2 linked regions of the Nothobranchius furzeri genome follow. The protein of the gene in region 2 interacts with the protein of the main gene of each other region in a biochemical or structural test. Links are inferred from orthologs where the notes say so. Each region holds a gene or a part of one and is shown on either strand. Other genes may lie near its edges.

The links.
Region 1: the proteins of serum response factor (region 2) and elk1 form a complex in vitro, tested with the Homo sapiens proteins (2 studies listed by BioGRID). The link is inferred for Nothobranchius furzeri from reciprocal best matches to the Homo sapiens genes SRF and ELK1.

The regions. Positions count from the first base shown.
Region 1 is NC_091755.1:47,140,426-47,144,948, reverse strand, and holds the start of elk1 (ETS domain-containing protein Elk-1), read right to left. Parts: upstream 2,809-4,523; 5' UTR 2,690-2,808; coding exon 2,665-2,689; intron 1,295-2,664; exon of another isoform or gene 1,056-1,294; intron 845-1,055; exon of another isoform or gene 748-844; intron 1-747. UniProt on the Homo sapiens protein: Transcription factor that binds to purine-rich DNA sequences. Forms a ternary complex with SRF and the ETS and SRF motifs of the serum response element (SRE) on the promoter region of immediate early genes such as FOS and IER2.
Region 2 is NC_091752.1:3,822,708-3,826,522, reverse strand, and holds part of serum response factor, read right to left. Parts: intron 2,085-3,815; coding exon 1,818-2,084; intron 1-1,817. UniProt on the Homo sapiens protein: SRF is a transcription factor that binds to the serum response element (SRE), a short sequence of dyad symmetry located 300 bp to the 5' of the site of transcription initiation of some genes (such as FOS).

The sequences.
Region 1 (4,523 bases), on a different chromosome or scaffold from region 2:
TGTTTTAAAAACCAGCAAAAGTATCTTAAAACGAATCCTTACATCAACGGGCAGCCAGTGAAGCGCAGCCAGGACAGGAGGAATGTGGTCATACTTGCGCCTGCCCTCTAAAAATCTGGCAGCAGCATTCTGCACCATTTGCAACCTGGCTATTGAGCGCTTGCTCACACCGAATAAAACAGAGTTACAGTAGTCCAATCGCACCGCAATAAAAGCATGGACTACCGTCTCAAGATCATGTCGTGACAGGAAAGATTTGATCTTTGACAGCCGACGAAGGTGGAAAAAGGAGGAGGAGATCACTCCATTGATGTGGGTGTCAAAACTAAGGGCGCTATCCAGTTTAACACCAAGATTAGTCACTGAAGCACTCAGCTGGCCATTAAATGACCCACAGTCAGTCAGGGAAGAGTCAGAATGTCTGCTCGGAGCAAACAATATCGCCTCTGTTTTCTGATCATTTAGACTCCGAAAATTTCCACTCGTCCAGGTCATGATCTCCGTCAAACAGTTCGTAAGAATAGAAATAGAGAGACCACCTGACGTGTTCAGAGGCAGGTACAGCTGACAATCGTCAGCATAAAGGTGGACGTGAACTCCAAGCTCACGACAGATGTCACCAAAGGGCAGAATGTAAATAGAAAACAACAGAGGACCCAATATCGAGCCCTGTGGTACCCCCCAGGGTAGATCAGAGTATTCTGAGGAATAACTTCCCATCCTTACACACATATTTCTATTTGTCAGGTATGATCTGAACCAATCCAGGGCTAACCCAGAAATCCCGACATAATGATGGAGACGGTGAAGCAGCACTTCAGGAATAGCTGCTGCCTATGCCTATGTATGTATGTCTGCTCTCAGAATCGTGTGAACTGAAACTCTAATTTCCCCCTGGGATTAATAAAGTATCTTTGAATTGAATTGTAAGGTCCAGCAGAAGTAACAACACAGAATTACCGCCATCAGTAGCTAGATAAATGTCAATGAGCACTCTAACCAGTGCAGTCTACTTCTGTGCTACTACTGATGTCATCTCTTCTCCTCTTTTGTAGTTCTTAAACATCGAGTATAAGATGCAGCAACACCAGAGTCTGCACATGATCACTTTTGTTCTGTATCATCGAAAGCTTTTGAGGATCTTGCAGAAACACGCAATAGACGTGCTTCACACTCAGCTGCAAACTGCTCCAGCAAAAGCTGGAGATCACGTTCTGATGAAGCCAACAGGAACACATCATCTGCAAATGCAGAGACCTGATCCTCAGGCCACCAAAACAGGAGCTCAACTTACTGCTGGCAACATGGACCAAGCTCTGGCACCGGTCATACAGGGACCTAACAGCAGAGGGCCTGGTGCCCCATACTCCAGGAATACCCCCCTCCCCCCTTCCCTGGGGCGTGGTCAAACACCTTCTCCAAATCTACAAAACACGTGATGGTACAGTAATCAGACTACTTTCACTCCCCATCTGTCAGGATGATGGCTCACACATCTCATCTCACTGAACAGTTCAGTGCATCAGCATCGCTACGGCAACGTGTCAGAATTACATCACCGACTAGAAAGTGTCTGAGGGTTTGTCCTCTCACTGAGGACAAGTGGAGACATTTATGTTCCAGATGGACGAGTTGAGTCAGTGTCAATCTGTAACTCGTCACTCTGGTTCAGACACCCGATCAGCATTCAGCGCACCATCCTCAACCACAGCAGTGTGACCCGACCTGATCGGACCTGACAGACAGGCCTTAACTGAGCCAACACCTCACCAGGAAGGAAGTCGACTTCCTGCAGGTTCTATGGTGCAGCAGGAACCCACACCTGAACCAGCAGCATCAAGCAGCTAACGTTTATAAAGAAACAGATGATGAAACACGTTCTGATGTTCTGATCAGCCACGAGGAAACGGTCCAGCAGGAAAACCTAACCCAGCTCTCATTGACGATCTGGAACGTTTTGGTGTGGAGAACACGTAGGACGTTCTGATGCTCGAGATGCTTCAGGCGTGAGAGAGGTGCTGCAGTCTGGAGTTTTACTCACAGGTGGAGCAGCTAAACTGCCCCGCCTGATATCAAAACGTCAGTAGAAATGCTTCTGGTTGTTTTAAATCCCAACGGAGACAGAAATGAAAGAGAAAGGGGCGGAGAAGAAAGGAAGAGGTGGCGGGGAAGAGTTCACAAAAATAAACAATAAAGGATGGACAAGAATCCGCTTCTAGACCTGCAGAGACTGGGGATCGGGACTATGGATCAGGACTATGGATCAGAACCGATCAGGACTGGGGATCGGGACTAGGGATCAGGAATGAAGATCAGGACTATGGATCAGAACCGATCAGGACTATGGACCAGGACTGGGGATCCGGAATGAAGATCAGGACTATGGATCAGAACCGATCGGGACTATGGACCAGGACTGGGGATCAGGAATGAAGATCAGGACTATGGACCAGGACTGAGGGTTTTACAGGTTTCAACAAGCAGCAGAATAAAACCTTTCCGGTCCAAACGAGCCCGAACATCGAACGCAGCTGCAGGCCGCCTTCAAGCAGCTTCACACACCTGTTGCTACCTGCGAGCGCACGCACACTCACTCTCTCCTTCTCTCTCTCTCTCACACACACACACACACACACACACACACAGAGAGAGAAAAGCTCTCACCGTTAATGAGCGGGTTGGTCTCCATGTTTAGTCCCGGTTCTGGTCCTGCCTATGAACTCACACCTCCTCCATGCTGCTGTGTATTCTCCTCCTTGGGGTTGTGTTGTTGTTGTTGTGTGTTTGTGTGCGGAGCTGTCACTGTGGAGCTGAGGGGGAGGAGGAGGAGGAGACGTTCAGCAGCTTCTCTCCCGACCTGCAGGCGTTATGTAACCGCTCCGAGCTGCCGCTGCCAGGCTCCATGCTAACACGGACAGAACCAAAATCCAGACCCAAAGCGTGCACAAAGCACGGCCACACCACCGGAGACGATGATGTTCCACCAGTCCACCGGAACTCACCCCCAGGGGCTGAGAAGGCGCTCGGCGTCAGCGGAATAAAGTGAACCGAAACGTTTCATCCGCTAACAAACCTGCTGCTCTCCGGGATTAAATCCTTTATCCGGAGAAATAAAAAAATAAAAAAAACTTCCTTATCCTTATCCTCTCGTCGGTTTTCAGTGCGAGTGTCTGAACAATCGGCTGCTGGTGGCTTTTAAAAAGTTTCAACAAGTTCAAGGTCCAGCGAGAGCAGCAGCAGTTAGCCTAGCCTAGCCTAGCCCGCTGCCCCCGCCTCTCCTGCTGCGTCAGTCCCGAAACAACGCTGCTCACTGCGGATACGCGCCCTAGAGTTCCGCGGGGCCGAGCACAGTTCTCCGCGACGGAGGAAAAGTAGTCCGTGGGGTCCGTCCAGATGTTTGTGGACCGGGTTCGGAGTGACCGACCGAACTTCAGAGAGTTTTCACAGTTTGTTCCTGTTTACTCCTCTTCACCTCTCTTCTTCACGGTCAAAGTAACGGCGGTTTAAACCGGCGCGCTTCCGGTAGGGACTTTCAAAATAAAACGTTCAGTTAGCAGTCATTGTGAAGCACACAGACTTTATAACAGCTGTTAGGATACAGGTTAGAGGTTAATAAATAAAAAAGAACCAGGGAGCTGGTTTGGTGCTAAATCTCACAAAATAAAAAAACGACAATTAGATAAACTTTATTCTTTTAATTATTCATTTCAGGGTGTGAATAGGTGAATCACTAATATGTTATAAAGCGCCTTGGGGGCTGTAAGAATCTGTAAGTGCAAGCCATTTACCATTAATTTGTACTTGTTTTGTCACCTCTGTCAGTGTGACCCAGGGCATCTGTGGCTACATCATAGAGCATCCCCACCAGCATGTGAATGGGTGAATCACTGATTGTGTTGTAAAGCGCCTTGGGGGGTTCCAGGACTCTAGAAGGCGCTATTTCAAATGCAGGCCATTTACCATTTTTTTTGTTTGTTTTACCAAAACAGGTTACACTCTTGATTTGGAGAATCTATGGGTGAAACTCAAAAAATGAAAACATTGCACAAAATTTAATTTATTTCAGTAACGGGAAAAGGGAGCCCAAACAAAGTCTTTAGTATAAATGCATGATAATGCTTTGTCAGCCCTTCTGTAAAAACAATCAGGGTTTTATTGATTTAAACTCATTTTACTGAGATTTTAAATTTGGGGTAGAGGTGTTGTAAGCCATAATAATCACAATTCTAACAAATATAGGGTTGAAAGGTCCCACTTTGCATGTAACGAGTGTCATGTCATGTATTAGTTTTATCTTTTAAATAATTACTGAAATTAATTAACTTCGTACCGTATTAAAACATTTTGAGCAACCCCTAGTGGTTGGACTTTAGGCCACGCCCCTTCACTGTTAACAAATGGGCCATTCCTCTGATAAATGAACAAATCTGAGTTATAGTTTCCAGGAGTTTACACCTATCGACTAACGTTCTGCTGTTATTCCCAATATTTAGCTGCAACTATTAAACGCTTACAACCACCAT
Region 2 (3,815 bases):
CAACTGTGCAGGTGGTTTTACATGGAGACGGGAGCTACGTCTGACATACAGAGAAAAGCATTCAAGGAGCAGTATGGAAGATTCTAGTGAGATTTTTATGGTGAGAAAACCCCAAAAGAGTCTAATGTTTCAGTTATTTTGGAAGGAGGGTTACACTGAAACTGAATACTGATGTTTCATATCCAGCTGGCTGTGGGGTTTTCAAAACAAACAAGGGAGGGGCGTAACTACTAAATACATAAACAAACTACTGTTTACCATCAGTGAGTGTGGGGGTGCCACATCTCCTGCGAGCTAATGCTGCAGCGCCGACGATTGTAATTTTACGACGACCGACAAAAAGCTCCACAGCTGTTTAAAGTGGTTGCAGTAGCCAAATTTTTTATCACAGGATGTCCTTTTATTTCATTTCTACTTATTGCACCTTTAACTCAGGCATCTTTTTCTCGTCTCTGCTAGAGTTCTCTACTCACCCCCGCCAGCCACTGGATTGTTTAGGCTAGGTTGGACTGTATGCATGACAAGCTTCCCTCATGATGGACGGTGTCCCAACACTCACACGGGAACCCTGATCCACCTGCCTCGTTCTAACAAAACAAACTAGTGCTGGTCTCTTAGCCCCAAGAGCCGCAACATCACCATCAACCGCCCAAACGGACACCACATGATGCAGGATGGGTAGTTTTGGTCAAACGTTTCCCTTCCACTTGCTCATATCTAAATCCATACCCCCTCTTCATATCACTAAAGCGGTTGGGGGTGGGGTTGGAAGTGAGGGGGGTGAAATCACAGGACTCCAAAGACAGCTGCAGCTTATAAGGAATGTGAGGGGCCTCAGCCAAGAGCGCAGGCAGGGAAACCATACCATATATGGCAACAGAGGCAGAATCTAATTTTTATCAATGAGCAGTGCGGGCTGGAGAGTGGATTAACATGCAAAGGTTGATCTCCCATCCCTGACGGAGGATGGGGCGCGTTAGTTAGCTCCTGTAAAAACAGCACGTGGCCAACCGGGCCTCGCAAGTGTCCCGTCTTCAAAGAAGCACGCTCGAGGCTGTGTCAACAGTGGAGGGGAGTTGGGTTGTTCTGAAGGTGAGCACACAACGGTGAGCATGATGGAGCGTCTCTACGTCAAACTTTTAAGAGTTCGCTAAAGTTAAAACTTTATGCCAAAACAAACCCAATAAAAGTTAGAAGAGATTTAGCATTTTTAATTAAACCTAAAGTGAAAAATCCCCGCACTCAACGCAGCACAGGTTTAAGAATTAAACCGTTATCCCTGAACAAAGAAGAGCTCCATCCTAAAACGTAAAACAAACAGCAGGCTGTATGGTCCTCACCCTAACACAGGCCAGACCTGCGCTGATTTATGCTCAGGGGTGTTGGGAGGTTCTCATGGGTGAAAGGTCAGCGAGGTAAAGTGTAGACTGCTTGATTCACTAAACCCTCCACATCTTATCTGACTCTCCTTTGGTCTGCAGGCCTTTGATGGACTAGAAAGTGATGAAAATCTAACGAGCCCAAACCAGAAACATACTACAAATCTGTTTACAAGAGGGATTTTTATTTCCACTGCCGTTTGTGGGTCTGATTTATTTGCTCCCTTGTCTGCTGGCCTTTTCTGGAGAGAGTTCCTATTCTATTCATTAGTAACTCACTACGGTGTTCCATCTTTCTTCCCTCAAACTCCCCCTGCAACATCTGTCTCCATTAGAGACTTGCTTGGTTTTAACAGAATCTATTTTGGGCAAAAACACTGTTGTTTATAGTTTAACAGCTGCCAGACATTACAGTCATGTCCCACTTCCTGTTCTCACCTTAGAGTCACCCATGGTCTCTGACTCGGACACCTGGTAGGTGAGATCCGTCTCCTCGAAGCCCATGGCGCTCATGCGCTGGTCCATGGAGGGGTCGGAGCGGGGCGGCGAGTCAGGAGAGTTGAGGCACGTTTGGATCAGGGCTTTGCCCGTTTCACTCGTGATCATGGGCTGGAGCTTTCGGGTTGCAAAAGTGTACACGTGACCCGTTTCGCTGGCCACGAGTAGCAAAACCTGGGTTCCCGTCAGGGTGGAGAGTTCATAGGCCTGGGAAGAGATGAATAACAAATAAATGTCATTTGATTTTGGTCAAATTTAGCTTTTTCTTAAAATGTGATTTATAGATAAACTGACATGGACACGGAAATAACTTGAAACGTACAAAAGTAATCAGACAAAATAAAATAACTGAAACTGTAAAACTGGCTTTAACTTAACGGATGGCACCCCTAGAAAAGACCATAAGAACACTTTAACAGACGGCTCCTTTAATCAGCATCAGGGGTGTTTGGTCTGTTTAAAGGCTAAAAAGTAGTCACAGTGCTGTTTGGTATCCGGGTGTGTACCACACTGGACATGGACCACCAAAAGCTGAGGGCAGAGTTGTCTCAGGAGAGTGCAAAGACAATTGTTGACCAGCATGTTAAAGGTAAAGGCTAGAAGACTATTGCCAAGTAGCTTAATGTCCCTCTGGCTTTAGTTGGACGTGTCATTCAGTGGTTTTAGGTCCACAGGACTGTAGACAACCTCCCTGGAAGTGAATGCATGAAAAGAAAAAGAAAAAAGAAAAACTGAAGAAAGGCTAATATGAGATGGATCAGAACAAAATACACAACTGTTCCAAATGTCCTTCAAACCTGAGACAAAGAAAGTTGATTTTCTGTAAATTCTTACTTTGGCCAGGATCAGTGTTTCGGGGATTAGGGATGTAAGAAAATATCGATATGGCAATATATCGTGATATTTTTTCTAACAATATTATATCGATATTAAAAAAAACCGTGTATCGGAAAAATCGATATGGCAATATATCGTGATATTTTTTCCTGCGATTATTACATCGATATTCAAAAGCCGTGTATCTAATTCTTGAAAGAATTTACATGCAAACTTTTGTGTATTTTCTTTTTGTTTTGTGCAATTCGATCGCCACCCGCTAGTTGGCAGCAGTGTGCAACAGGTTTTGTTTCCACCATTGAACTGTAACTTCCTCCATCATGGTTCAGATACTTCATGTTAAACATGTTACGTATCAGTTTGGACTGTTGAACATTCTTACAATAAATTCAGTAAAAAAAATGCTTGTAACGTCTGACTGAATGTATCGCAATATATCGTGATATATCGTATCGTCTCCCCTGTATCGTGATATGTATCGTATCGCCAGAATTTCAAAAATACACATCCCTGTCAGGGATAATTGTGGGTTTTTTCACTACTTTAACCAGAAGGTACCAACAACCTTTTCCACATCCGCAGCTAAAGAAAAGTTGGCTTGCTGTACCTGAGGGGGAAAGGATCCAACACTAGAATCTATACATACTCCTGAGGTGAACTGTGACATATTCCACAAATAACACTGAAAAAGGAGATAAGATTCCCAGAATAGAGTGTGTGTGACAGAGCTGAGAGACAGCAAAGGTCTGGTCTGCAAAGGCAAAGGGGGGTGGGTGTAGTAAAACCACAGATGATGGAGGACATGAGGTAGCTGGTTCATTACAACACAAGAAAACGCAGTGAATCTAAAACCTGCTGAAATTCAACTCCATCCGAAAACACCCCGACACTGCACTCCTAACGAACTCCCGAGAAAGCTTTATTTTCTCCAAATGAGTCATTGGTTTTGCGGAGGATGACTCTGGTGCTTGTGAAGGCACGGTGCCATCACCGTTAGCTTGGCTCGCACAACAAAAGACGAAGTTGACAGATGAGCCGCTGTAAGCTGGAGTACAGCCTTCTGTCAGACACTGAGGAGATTAATCACATTCAAATTTAATG